3 linked regions of the Drosophila melanogaster genome follow. The protein of the gene in region 2 interacts with the protein of the main gene of each other region in a pairwise test. Each region holds a gene or a part of one and is shown on either strand. Other genes may lie near its edges.

Evidence for each region. The genes of interacting proteins can lie anywhere in the genome.
Region 1: the proteins of CG32365 (region 2) and CG31482 interact in a two-hybrid assay, tested with the Drosophila melanogaster proteins (one large-scale study listed by BioGRID).
Region 3: the proteins of CG32365 (region 2) and PpN58A interact in a two-hybrid assay, tested with the Drosophila melanogaster proteins (one large-scale study listed by BioGRID).

The regions. Positions count from the first base shown.
Region 1 is NT_033777.3:6,599,374-6,603,341, reverse strand, and holds CG31482 (uncharacterized protein), read right to left. Parts: upstream 2,101-3,968; 5' UTR 2,033-2,100; coding exon 1,991-2,032; intron 1,933-1,990; coding exon 1,804-1,932; intron 1,747-1,803; coding exon 1,430-1,746; intron 1,377-1,429; coding exon 1,277-1,376; 3' UTR 1,141-1,276; downstream 1-1,140.
Region 2 is NT_037436.4:7,866,775-7,872,699, reverse strand, and holds the start of CG32365 (uncharacterized protein), read right to left. Parts: upstream 3,659-5,925; 5' UTR 3,597-3,658; exon of another isoform or gene 3,118-3,596; 5' UTR 3,109-3,117; coding exon 2,647-3,108; intron 1-2,646.
Region 3 is NT_033778.4:21,880,212-21,884,430, forward strand, and holds PpN58A (protein phosphatase N at 58A), read right to left. Parts: upstream 2,323-4,219; 5' UTR 2,238-2,322; coding exon 1,263-2,237; 3' UTR 1,141-1,262; downstream 1-1,140.

The DNA of each region.
Region 1 (3,968 bases), on a different chromosome or scaffold from region 2:
TGAGTGCTTAAGGATTTAATGCGCTCCCGGCAGCTGCTGAGCCCCAGACATCGACTTCCACTTGGGAACAGACATGTAGGAAACAAAGCTTGAAATAAAATAGCGCTCTAGTTGATTGCACCGACTTATAGATACCCAGTACGTGGTAGGTACCACCCCAAAAGGTGCATAAGTCACCCATTTTGACTTAGTGGTAAAGTAATGTGATATAATTCATAAAAATGATTACAATTTATATAATTTTATAAATATATTAAGCCATCTAAAACTTGTTAAGGATTGAGATAGTAGAAGGGTATAAACAGCCAACCGAGACAGTATACCTAATTCTTTTCCGCCACTTTGTTGACACCGGCATAGTCAATGGGGAATTCCTTTCGGCTGATGCTGATTGCCAAAAAAGATAAAAATAAATGCGGAAAGAAAAAGGCCAGAACAACCCGCGCCTAGTGAAAAAAAAAAACTGAATATCCCTATCGCACGAATTCAAATTAACCCAACATACTCACACGCCCACCAGTGCTGTGTCGTCTTAGATTGGATTTCTATAGCTGTAGTAATAGCTGTTTCAAATAATATAAATTTTAACACATTTTATACCCGTTACTCGTAGAATTAAGTAGAATACACTAGATTCGTTAAAAAGTATGTCAAGGAAGTATGTAGAAGGAAGAGTTTCTGACCGTATAAAGTATATTTATTCTTGATCAGGATCATGTCCGTCTGTCTGGTCGTTCGTATGACCGTCGAAATTTCAGGAATTATATAAGCTATAAGGTTAAGATAAAGCATACAGATTCTAAAGCACAAGTTTGTTCATCCATGCAGCCACGCCTTCCCATTAAATTCTCCAATATCTATCGATATGCCAGAAAATTATGAAATATCACGTTCTCACTGCCAGCAGCTGAGTAACGGGTATTAGATAGTCGGGGAACTCGACTATAACATTCTCTCTTTTTTTTAATTCAAAATATTTCATGCATTTAAATAGTTTTTGTAAATGCCAAACACCCCAGTGTTAAGGCAGCACTCCCCAGTTTCGATCATTAAATATCGTGTGCTGTTTTAATATCTTCCTGGTGAACTACAAGTTGCAAGCAACTAGATAGAATGGTTTTACATAACTAACAATGGCATATTCACCAAACTTCCAAAAAGTGAAATTTATTATTGGGTACAGAGTAGTTTCAAATATCAGTAATTGGTTTTTCAAATTGCTTAACTACAAATTTACAAGAACTGCGGCACAAAAACTTCAAAGTGATAATGACCCTCAATTTGTGAATTGCCAGCATAACCAAAGCATGACTATGATGGGAATATTGTCAACTTGAAATCTATTCAAATTGCCTTGACCATTTTCATCACCTTCCCTGCAATGAAATAAAATGAAAGAAAAAACTACAGATGTAATTAATTTGCTTACCCTTTGATCGGCGGAAGAACATTTTCTTCGAACTGCCCGTTCACATTGACTGGTGGATAATATCTTGCTACCACCCAGTAGTAACCCTTTTTGTCCTTGGCTTGCCCAATACCCATTTTTTTCGCATTCTTCCAAACGAGGGCGGTGAAATGACCCGTTGACATTGCAAACTGTGGCTTTTCAAAGTCGTAGTCCGCGATTTCGTCGTACCAGTCTTGAACACATTGCAGAGGGGTTTGTGACCGCATGCACAAGTTTTCACCATAGTTTTGACCGGCAGAACTTGAATGCTCTAACTTTTCATTATTGGCTAGCACCTGTTCGAGGGTATTAAAAGTGTAAAAAGGTAACATTGTTATTAACCAACGAAATACTTTAGCATATTCTTCGCATCCCTTTGTGAGTTCATCGTCCAAGGTCAGAGGCGGACTTCCATGCTTCTCCCTCAACCGATTGTGTTCATTTAGATGGTCCTCCTGAAGATCAGCTATAACCAACACCAACTAGAATACAGGAGAATAAATCAGATTTCATTTAAAATTACTAAATATTTAATTATACCAAACATAGAGCCAAAACAATCAATATGTTCACCAAAAACATGTTTTTTTGAGAATAACTATAGCACGAAAACTTTGACAAACTTATCTAGGATTCTGATTGCTTTAAAGACCTCGAAATTCTGGTGACGTAATTTAAAAGTTACTTAAATTGTAATTAGTTTGGTGTACCTATAAAGCGTATGGAGGATCCCTTAATTAATACAGTTTTTAGTCCGTGCACTTCTCATGCAGTTTGTATCATTTGTACATGAGTATCGTTCCAAAAATCTACTAAAATATGAAGTTGACTTTAGATTCGGACATAATGCATGGAAAGCTGAGTATCAAAACCAATCTCAAAAGAAACACAAATTAGACGAGGGTTAAATTTTGTTTGTCTACTTAGAAGTCTAACTTTGTGTTAAAGGAGCTGATTATTTTTAAAAATAAACCTATAGTTCTAGTGACTCTTACTGATAGGGGTTTTTCCATATCAAAAAAGTCTAGTTGCCTCAAAACTGATGCTTCCGCGGCAATTTGCTTGTTGTGTTGACAGCTGGCCTGAGGTTTCATGCTTTTTGCATTAGGGTACTGACAGATGACTTCACAGAGACACTGAAAACCAGAACGAGGAAAAGCACAATATTTTTTCGGACATTTTTTAATATATTTTGTATGGCGTATGTTTTAAAACTTATATGCAGTTTTATTTTTGTACACCACTTTTGTTTGGGAAATGCGAATAGAAATTTCTCTGTATCAAACGGGCGAACAGACTTATTGGGGGTGCAGTGTGCAATTATTTTGAGCGAGTAACCGCCACCAGGCCAAAGGATAATGCGATGAGTTCTGATCGCCAGCAACAACGGACCAGCTCCAATGGAGCCACGCCCCAGCCAGATATTAAATTTTCGCTGTTGCTCCATGGAGCTGTGGCAATAAAGGTTTGGCTTTGCCAACCATGTGCGAGGGCACTTTGAGGAGGGACGAGCTCTGGCTCCCACACATGTGGCTGATGCCTTGGGCCATCATCGTTGACAACAATATCAGTGGCTTTCGAAACAGCGGCAGCCGCAGGAGCAAAAAAGCAGCTGGAACACGGACTAGTGGAACTTACTTTGTCCTCTGCGTGGCTTTGGTTTCTGGTTTTTGGCTGTAAAATGTCAATTTGGGCCCGTGACGAAGATTTATTGTGCGCGTGTTTGATAGGCGCGCTTAAATATCCCATTCAGCACACATATTTCCACTATCAATTTCGATGGCACCAGCATGAGCATAATCTGGTTCGTCACTGGTGATGGCACCTCTGCTGTTTTCAAAACTTAGGAATGGAAATGATCAGCGTGAAATCTAGGTTTTGTACGCAACACAAAATCATTCACAAAAATAAGGTTTTTGGTACTATGGGTATTACAGATGATTTCACTGCACTGCAATTTATGCAATTTAAAAATTAAATTTATTCAGGGCTTAACAAATAAGAATACTAGTTTTGTATACATTTAGACCTAAATCCAACAACAATTTCAGTACATTCCGCAGGATATATACGATTGCTGCTTATGAATGCAGAACAGTCGCTAAAAAGCCAACGAGTTGACTCGCTGCCAAGAGCAGCATTTAAATGAAAATGGCAAATTCATGCCACATAATGGTTAAACGACATCAGAAGAGCAACACGCAAAGCGTTTATTTTTTCTGAAATTCCAGGCACGCAAGGACAAGCAGCACACACTCAAAATTGTAAGGGAAAACTTGCAATTTATCCATCCGAGTTGCCTCCTGTCACCGGCACCAAGTTGTCCCACTCCTGCCTGGCCGATAACTCAATAGCGTAGCCCGGGGAGCATTGGCATAACTAAACTAATTTCTTTTAATTCAAACACAGCAACTCCGGCCCAACGGCTCTGTTGGACACTGATGGCCAAATGGCTGGGTGTGAAACTTTTATGTCGCCCCCTGCATGGACCTCCGCCCAGGTGGTCTTACCCACCTCC
Region 2 (5,925 bases):
ATGTAACCCAAACATTTCCTTTTAAGTTTTTTGCTCATAATTGTAAGTAATATTCGAATATGCCAGTGAAGTTCAAAAGTGTCATTAACAATTATTTGCCAAGTACAAGGATGGTTTATGACTTCAAAAAGAAAAGAGCTCTCTTCGATGGTTAGTTACCGTAACTTAACTCGACTTCGATGGTTTAATGCCAGATGGATTGGGTAATATACCCCGTAAGGTCAACGTAATTTGACTTCTATTCACGCCTGCCAGCGTTGGCCATTGTAGTTGGTAAGTCAGCTGTCAACGAAATGCGGTTTGTTGTTGATACTTGGAGTGTTTTTATTTTTTACTTCACCGCCAGGCAATCGAAAGTGAAAACCCGATGCAATGAACTCTCATCCGCGGGAGGATGAAACTGTGAAGCATGCAACTCCTACGCCACAAGTTGCAAGTAGGGAAAGCAGCAACAGCAGCAGCAGCAACAGCAGCAGCTGCGTTAGAAAAATTCAAATAATGCGACAACGGAGCCATTCAAGTGTGGCCAAGAGGCCGCAAGCAGCTAACAACGAAACCGGCAACGATATCAAGTGACAATCATAAAGAAAAAGGAAAATATATATGTATGCATATATAAAATAAAAATAACAAGCTTTTGTTGCCACTTTTTCTCATTACGCTTTATCGGCAGCTATTAAAGCCGCAAAATCTTGGCGACATTTCGTAATGAGGCTTGGGAATGGGGCAATGGGTGGGCTTTGGGGAGGGGGGGGGGGGGCATATCCGATTGCCAGTAGTTTTGCATGCCCAAGACAAAAGGCCATCAACTTGTTGAAAGTCTGTTGCTATGACTGTCGATTTCAAACCGAAAATCGGATATTAAGTCCACCCGTTTTGGCCTGGGAAATCGCCAAACCAAAACCCGATCATTGAATTGTAGCTTGACCTTTGCACACAGTCGCTTTTTCGAACGCCCTACCGAATGAACGCTTTAGGCCCGAAATAACAAAAATATGGAGGGGGGCTGAAACAACACACGGTAATTCTTTGGCTAATTATTGTTTAGGCCAAGACCTTGCTGGCATTTTCTTTAAACAAAAGTTTTGCTTTCGATGTTTACGCTTGAGTTTTCAGCGGAATCGGTGGGTGATTATGGCATATTTGCTAGAGAACGAATTAAGGAAATATTGTGATTGTTCGATAAGGTCAAAGGGTGTGGGTGCCGGCGAGGGGTGGTGGGGTGTGTGATGACGGCACAGGCCTTCAAATTAAAGGAAATGAAAATTGGAGGTGGAAACATCGGATTTTATGGCAGAGGAAATATAAAGAATTCGTTGCAATAACTTGGGAAATGTTTTAAACAGTTAAACGAAACATGGGGAAGAAAGTTATTAGCAAAAAAAATTATTTGTATCTATGTTTCTAATCTAATAACGCAGAAAAATGATATTGATGTAAAATATATGTAATTTCTGAAATATTACACTACCTTCAAATATCAATATCTTGTTTAAGTATTGGAACTGATATTTATTCAATTATTCATGTTTGACATTTATATTGCTCATTTAATTGAAAGAATTTATTTATAAATTATAAATTTATTTATAAATTTATTTATATTTATTTATAAATTTATATTTTCAATAAATCGAATGAATTATTAGCATTTATTGAAGTTCCCGCAATATTTAAATTACGCTCCATTAATTTATGATGTGTAAGCCACTGTAAATCCTATTATTACATTTTTGTTAGCTTAATTGAGAACTAAATTTGATGAAAATTTTCAAGAACATTTTTATTTACAGCTTACTACCCATTTTTTTTTTTTGTGCTAAGTTACCCCGATGCAACTTTCAATTCCACTTGATGTTTGCTGGCAAATTCATTGAGACACTTAATAAATGTTACATATACGCCTTTCAACCACTTTAGACCCCCAACTATGCCCCCTTATCACCCTTATCAATGCCAAGTGAAGTTTACTCTCCAATTTCGACCCACACACGACACTTTTCGCACATAAATCAAGTTGACCTTAAAAAAATCAGTGAAACAAAAACTTTGTCATATCATGGCCAGCAACAACAACAATAATAACAACAACAACTGCAAGACGCCAAAGGAGGCGAGGATTTTTGTGGGCAGAAGAGGGGGTAGTGGGGTTGTTAAGGGGAGGCTGTCAAGGCTACGTGACAAACAACAAGGTGACATAAATATCCAGTTGCTCCAAAAAGGAAACTGAACTTTTTTCTTTAATGCCAAGGCAACATAGCAAAGTTTAAGGGAGCCGGGGGATGTGGGGCAGAGTGAGAGGGGAGACGGAGACGCGTTCCAAGCAAAGAAAGCATAAAGTGATACAGTGGGCACTCGCGTAACAGAACTTCAGGGAATTCCAAGTCAAAGAAAAGTGAACTTGAATTCAGAAAAAGTTGTTAATTAAATATGTACATAGTATTAACTGTTTTTAATATTGTTTGTAAATAATTTTAACAAAATATTTGAAAATCACGTTGTTTCTATAAATTTCCCTTAACGCATATACATATGTACTTAATTTTTTTTGTAGCCCAAGCATTTCCTCATAACGTTAAATGTTGGCATTACTGCGGAATTTAAATTCCGAGAATTCTCGTTTGGCGCAAAGATTACTGTACTAACCTGCTGCTGTGTTGGCTGATGTGTCGGTTGCATTGGCCAGACGAGATTGAGATTCCTGGCGGATTGTGCCGGTGGTTGTGGATGCTGAGGGGGATGGGGCGGCTGGGCGGTGAGCAGCTGATTAGAGGCGCCAAAGTGTATCATGTTGGCGGTGTGACGTCGTGCTGGCAGAGCGGGGGGCGGGGTGGCGCAGGGGGAATCCTGTTCGTTGTCTCTCTCTAGCGATTCCTGATTCTCCAGCTGCTGCTGTTGTTGTTGTTGTTGTAGTTTGGCCTCGTTTGTTGGCGGCTTCTTGGGCAATGTCAAGGCATTGTTGTTGTTGTTGTTGTTGTTGTTGTTGTTGTTGTTGTTGTTGTTGAGCGAAAGCGAACGCGCAAAAGAACTTTTGAAATAGCGACACGGCATCTGGAAATCAAAGTCAAGATCCGTTGTCTGCTGCATGTTTGTTGTGGTTTTGTGCATTTCTATTGGCTAAAACGGGATTTCTTTATTTATATATTTGAATTTTCCCTTGTGCTGCCTCTTTCTCTGCTATTTTTTTTTGTTGGTCTCTTTTAAATTGGCATTGTTGATGTTTTCCTCTTTAGCGGTATTTCCCTTTGGATTATTGCATTTTTTCACGCACCCATAAGTTCACTTTCACACACTCACGCACAAATCAATTAGTTTTTGACACTCGAAGGATTTTTTTCAATACAATTTAATAGAAATTCAATGGAAATCAATTTCTGGGATTTATTCGCGCGCGCATAACACAAACAAAATTCATAAAGCCGCAGCTAGTTTTCGTTTGCGCCCGAATTGATGAGTTTTACTGTACTAAAATCCAGAAAAATTGGGAAATATTGATTCGTTGAAATGTTGTTGGGTTTGAATTTTAGTGCGAACTGTTGTTATTAAATGTTCAAGAATAATGTTCTACTAATAAATAGCTTGTTTTTCAACTTTACAACAGTTTGCTGCTTCTCGTAATTCACGCGACTTTTCCCGGCCGAGGTGGAAACCTAACTGGAAGACCAACTGTATGTTACCGCCAAATTCGCAGACAGTTTGTGCTTGGGTCACCCTGCTTGGGTTATTATTTCGATCTCCAATGTTAATGTTAATGTTATTAACAGTAAGCTCGTTCTCTCTGAAATAAATGAATGAAGAAGTTACCAAGGCAACCGAATAAAACAGAGTCTGCAAAGAATGTCTTAACAGCTAGCTATTCTCTTAATAACAGTGCAACAACAGTAAAAAAAATATGCTTAAAAGTATGCTAAGCATTTTGTTAAACAATCGTTTTTATGTCATAAGATCAGATCGTGAAACCTAAATTTAACAAATTAAATGAAAGAAACGTCTTGAACGTATACATTTAAGTGATTTTATAGAGACTTTTTTTTTAGCTTATAGCATTTAGTCAATAGCTTAGTTAACTGCACAAGAGTCTATAATAATAAAAGTCTATAAATACATTAAATTCGTTAACATGTTTTCAAATGTAGAAATGTTAATGATTTGGCGCGCCAAGAAATTTGAAAAATGTAGATTGTATTTTACAAGAAAATATGAAAAAGTATATTAAAAAGATAAAGTTTATTTTTGTTCTTCTTTTAGTTAAATAGATTGCATCTTAGTATTCATTATAAATATTATTCCAAATGTCTTAAAATTAATTAGTTTTTATATTTTATCATGAGTAAGAAAAGGGTTTTTTTCCAGTGCAAATTTTGTTCAACGAAACTAATAATATCGGTTGAGAAATGGAAATTGTTTTACCATTCCCCCTTCTAAGGAGGCATTAGCATTCGTTCCTCCGCTGACTAATCCCCGGCCTAATTCCCATACCTTATGTGGTATCTATATTGGGGAGACAGCTTGCCAATCAATTTGATTGCGCTGCGCTGATGTTTGCCCCTGTTTATCTAGCTTAGGGGAAGGATTTTCAAGCTTTTATCATAACAGAAGTGCTTTAATTCCCTTTGATGAACATTTGTACATAACCCCCTTTTGACAAAGAACTCCATAGCTTACTGATTTCGAAAAGCATGACCCAAAACTTAAGGTCATATCATTTTACTAGTAGGAATTTAAGTATTTAAACTAAAATTGGAAGTCATCTAAAACTATTTTTAAATGTAAAAATATTAAATATTTTATGAACCACATTTAATGTGTTTTTATTCATATCAATATATTTAAATAATTTTATAATTTAAATGATTTATGATATTTATTTATTTATAGACGTAAAATATTTGATGGAATCCTTCTGCAACCTGACCCCTAGCTACTAAAATAGAAATACGGCGATTAGTCAGAGTCGTTCGTAGTGGGTACTTAGTATAGATTTCTATTTTTATGGCCCCACGATCCACTGTTGCCATGTGCGCATGCCCCTGCGACTCTCCGTTACATAAGGCTTATATAAGAGGGCCATGCGAGCGAGCGAGATGGACATATGCCGCTTGGCTCTCTCGCTGCTTCTCCGCAACTAGCCCCCTCACGCTCTGGCCCCCTGAATGGCTCCAGTGAAGATAAAGACCACGTGATTACATTCTGCCGGCTGCACCAAAAAGAGAGAGCGAGAGAGCAGAGTGAGAATGAGTACTTGAAGTTGCTCTTATTTTGATTTCCAATTTATGTCCCAATGCTCCCCCGCGCCGCCATCGAAATGATTTAATCTTTTGGAAAATAGTTTCAGTTACGCGTTGTTGCTGCGACCGTGTGTATCGGTAATCGGTTTTCAAACACTTGCAATCGATAGGAGGACACAGAGTGTGCAATGAGCGAGCCCAAGGAGAATATCATGGACTTATCCGTGCGAGGTAAGTGGTAGCGTAGGCACCTGTCCATTGCCCCCTTGCCCCTCTCACCGAATCATCGAAAGCCCCAACAAAGGTAACACGTGCATTGGCGAGAGTGCGAATCGGTTTTGTTTGCTCTGCCTCTCACTCACACTTTGTGCGCGAAAAAGAGAAAGAGCTCAAGAGAGCATTGTGGGGGCGTGTGATAGTAAGCTTTTGCACGGTTTTATTTATTTTTTTGTTTTCTATTTTGCCGTGGTTAAGCCCGCCATGTGACAAATTATTTGATTTTGTCTTCAGATTGCTACAAATTGGTTTCTTTGATTTTCTATTTTTTTTTGCTATTTCCATTTCTATGGTGATTTTTTATTTACCTAGCGGCGGAGCCTTAAGCAAATAGTAGCTTATGTACGCACACGCAAAATTAGAGTGCTTGTATATTGTGTTCGGCCTTCAATAGAAACGTCACGAGGTACAGTGGATCGAG
Region 3 (4,219 bases), on a different chromosome or scaffold from region 2:
CGGGGAAATGGGTGAAAGTCTTTCGTACTGCTCCTTCGACTGGCAGCTTTTTGGCAAGTCGTAAATTAAAAATGGCTTAATATGTAAATCCTGCAGCTTGCTGCCGTCTCTTTCCCTCCGTCTAGCACTGGCCCTTTCGCTCAGATTAGTTTTGTGGATATTTCAGCTTACGCCTGTCCCTGTCTTCCCATCCATATCTCTGCATCTCCATCTTTTTCTCGGACATGCTGCATCCATTGTGGGGTTAATGCGGCTGGGTCCTTTCAACCCCACATGTCTGCTTATTTGCCCTGGTGTTTTTGTTTTTCTTGACTGTTGCGACATCGATATGCTTGTGTTGTCATTTGTCAGCAACATGGCAAGGATATTTGCAAGTGAAACTCCTGCTCGTCCTGAGCGTATGACTTTTGGGCATCCTTGGTGCTTAGAAAATTCAAATTAAATATCGGAAAAAGCTAAATTTATGCATTTGAATTATAGTTTATTATTGTGCCCTAAGTACATAAGTATTGAATCCACGAACTTGTCATGTCACGCAGCACCGCTCCCTTCTCTCTTTCATTATCCTTGAAATTTGCATTAATGGCCACTGCGCATCATTCCAATTTTCCGAAATGGATTGCCATTAATTTATTCCCTTTGCAAATTGCTGTGTCATTTAATTTCTCTCTTTCCCCACATTTATTCTTTTTTATTTTTCATATTTCCCCGCCAATTTGCATTGCCCACTGTGTGAGTGTGCGTGTTGTAATGCATTTTAGTAATTATTTTAGCTGCTTTTCACTTTCGTTGAGGGCAGTCATTAGCTTTTGAACTGGGCGAGGAAAATTGTACAAAATTCTTTGCCAACTCTGCCATAATTTAATTGCCCTTATGACTTAACTAGATGGAAATTAATGATTATTATTTATCAAATTAATATATATTACTTTTTGCGCGACTTTACAAAATGGAGAAATCAGTGTGGTTTTTTTTATGCTGAAATTGTTGATGAGATGGGATATAATTTAATGGATTTTTCGATTAATTGCGTATAAAGTGCAGTTAATTATGTAATGATAATATCAGCTACTTTGTGGTGTTCACGTGATTTCAAATTGTAGCCTAATATTGTTTAAACGTTTTTTAAAGTATTATTTTGAATTGCAACTGTTTATATTTTAATTGTGCTTCTTATAACGCTAACTGGAATATGGAATTTACAATATGGTTTAAAAAAATAAACTACTTTACAATGATCGAACGGACGAATCTTTAAACCTTTAAACACTTATATCTGATAGTCTCCTCTGCTCCGATAGTATTGGCCTCTGAACTCGAAAGGTGCACAACAAATCCTGATTGATGCACATCATGGCCCCAGCATTATCGAACTCCCCGCAGTAGTTTGGGGCCGAGAAAATTGTGATCAGCTGGCGCTTGGCGAAGAACTCGTAGCCATCCTCGACCACCTGGTGACCCCGACAAATGAGGTTCAATTTGAATCGGTGCAAGAAGGCACTGACCACATCTGAACCGAAGGTGTGGCTCACGCCCCTTTCGTTGGGACCCCAGCCCATGATCCGCAGATCAGGGTCGGACCACAGAATATCGCATATCAATCCGGATTCCGGTATTTCGATGGGCCGGCGAATTTCCCGTATCTGCTGCATGCTAAACAGATGGGGACTCAGACCGCCGTGGCAACAGAAGATATTCTCCTCGATGATCGCCGCCAGTGGCAGGCAGTTGTAGCAATCTACAAAAGTGCGCCACAACTTCACCGTGTATCGCCTTTTGCACTCGTCGTAGAATCCGTAGAAGTGATTTATACTGGAGCACTCGTGGTTTCCTCTTAGTAGGTAGAACTTGGTCGGATACCTTGCCTTGAGGGCCAGTAGCAGGGTCAATGTTTCGATGGACTGCTTGCCTCTGTCCACATAATCACCCAGTAGCAGATACACCGAATCCGGCGGATAGCCATTGGACTCGAAATAGCGCAAGAGATTTAGGTACTGACCGTGTATGTCTCCCAGTAAATTAATCGGAGCAGGAATCTCCAGCAGAGTTGGCTGTTTGAGCAGTACTTCCCTGGCCCGAGAACAAACCGCTTCGATTTCCCGGACGGAAATCTGAACCACGGATCCTATCTCTCCGATTAGTTTTAGCTTTGCAATTATTTGGTCCAAATTGATTCCCTCGTCGAACTTAAGAGTTTTATTTTTGTTCGAGCCGTTGCTTAGTAACTTCTTCATCATATTTTCGGCACACGGAATTTTGAATCGCAATCATGTGTGGGGTAAGAAGGGCTTTCGTTTCTTATGCAGCAGTTTGCTGGTTTAGTTTTCCTAGGATTTTTGAGAGCAAAATCAAGGTAGATGAAATGGAAATGTTAAATTTTATTTGTTAATCTTTTGTTTCTTCAATTTCATAGTAAATCCCCCATCAGACTAAAACCATTTAAAAGCCACATTACTGTCGTTTCATTCAATCAACTAAATTTGAATCACCAGTCCATGCTAAACGCCCCCACCCACCCTTACTGTCCACCCGGAAAATCCCGCCTTATAAGCCCCCCCCCTTCCCTCTGTTAACTCCTCGCCAATTGTCAGTCCGCCCTTCATCTTTGTGTGAGCAATCGCATCCGTTGCTTTTATTTTTCAAATCAACATAATGGACACTTTGCCCGACGGCAGCATCATCCAGTCACCTCCCACCCCCTTTTGGCCATCACCCCTCCGGCCATGACAATGCATACATATATAAAGCATATATAAAAAAAAAGTGAAAAATACAAAGGCAACTTCAGTTTTTGGGCTTTGACAGCAGACATAGAATGCAGAAAGAGAGCGACGCATTTTCGAGTGGGTGGGCCAACCCCCATACCAGCAGCCCCACACTCCTCCCCATCTTGGGGTGGATCAAGCCCTAGTCCCCCGTTTTCCATAGTCAGTTCTTAAGCCAAAACCTACCGCAGATGCAAGTATACTATCTTCAAATGCACTGTGAATAAATATATATCAATATTATTGCTAATGATTTTTAATAACTGCTAAGTACGATCAAGTAAACATATATTTTTGTTCTTTGATAATTCTGTCAAATTTCGAAATACATTTTTCGAACGTTGAAGATATTATAATATATTTCTGCCAGTGTATGTCCGTCTCTTCGCCACTCATTACACATTTTGCTAACTGCAACACGGAGTGTTGTTGCTGCCGTTCTTGCCTGTTGTCATGGCAAGTGTCACAACAGTCGCCTGCATTTTGTTGATTTTACGAGCATGTGACAGGCTGAGATTCTGCGAATGCATCAACATCAACATCAAGCCAGCGCATCAACCCTGAACCGAGGAATGGAAATTGAAGAGGGGAAAGTCGGAAGCGGGCTACAAATGTAAGTCGTGTGATTAGTAACGGATTCCGCAAAGGGCGCTGCGGAAAAGCGGTTGGGGAGGCTGCCCCCAGCACTCGGGCCTCGACCCCCACTCCCCTCCTTTGAACTTCATCCCAGATCCATCAAGTTGACAAGACCATTTCTGTCCACATACGAACTTGTGTTCTTTGATGAGAAATATTTTGCACATTGCCTTGACTTTCTACATTTTATCACACAACTTAAGCATTTCTTTAATACATAAAACCAAATGAATGTATAAATAGATTTATATAATAATGATACCAGTTTGGATAGCGTATTTACCCGTTGAGATTAGAGTTCTTGCGTTGTGCAAGTACAATAAATATTAAAATGTTTCACACAAACTATAATCTCAGCACTTTGCATTTAGAGAAAGATGGAAAGCGTAGAAGGAGAAAACAGATTAATATTTTTGGACGAGCGGCTTCTGTTTCATGTAGTAAACACAGCTGGACCCATTCTTTCATTTTCGGTGGATTCCAGCTGAGTTTTGCTTATCTAATGCATTTCGCCCCTACACTTGTCTGTCTCCCTCGCACAGACTTGCCATCTAGCTCTTCTGCTGCTCTTATCTCTGCGGATGATATTGTATTCCCCGCAAACATAAATGCACTGAGAAAATTTATACTTATCAGCAGCCAATGTTAGCTTTTTTTTATTAAGATTTATAAATGACGTAATAATTATCTCTTATTAAGCTTAAAAACTTATTTAATTCTTGTCTTAAAAAAAACTTTATTTCTTTCAGTGTTTCAGCAGTAGCTCCTTCTCCCTTACTCCTTTTGCTTGTCGCTGTAGTTGTTAATTGCTTGCTGCT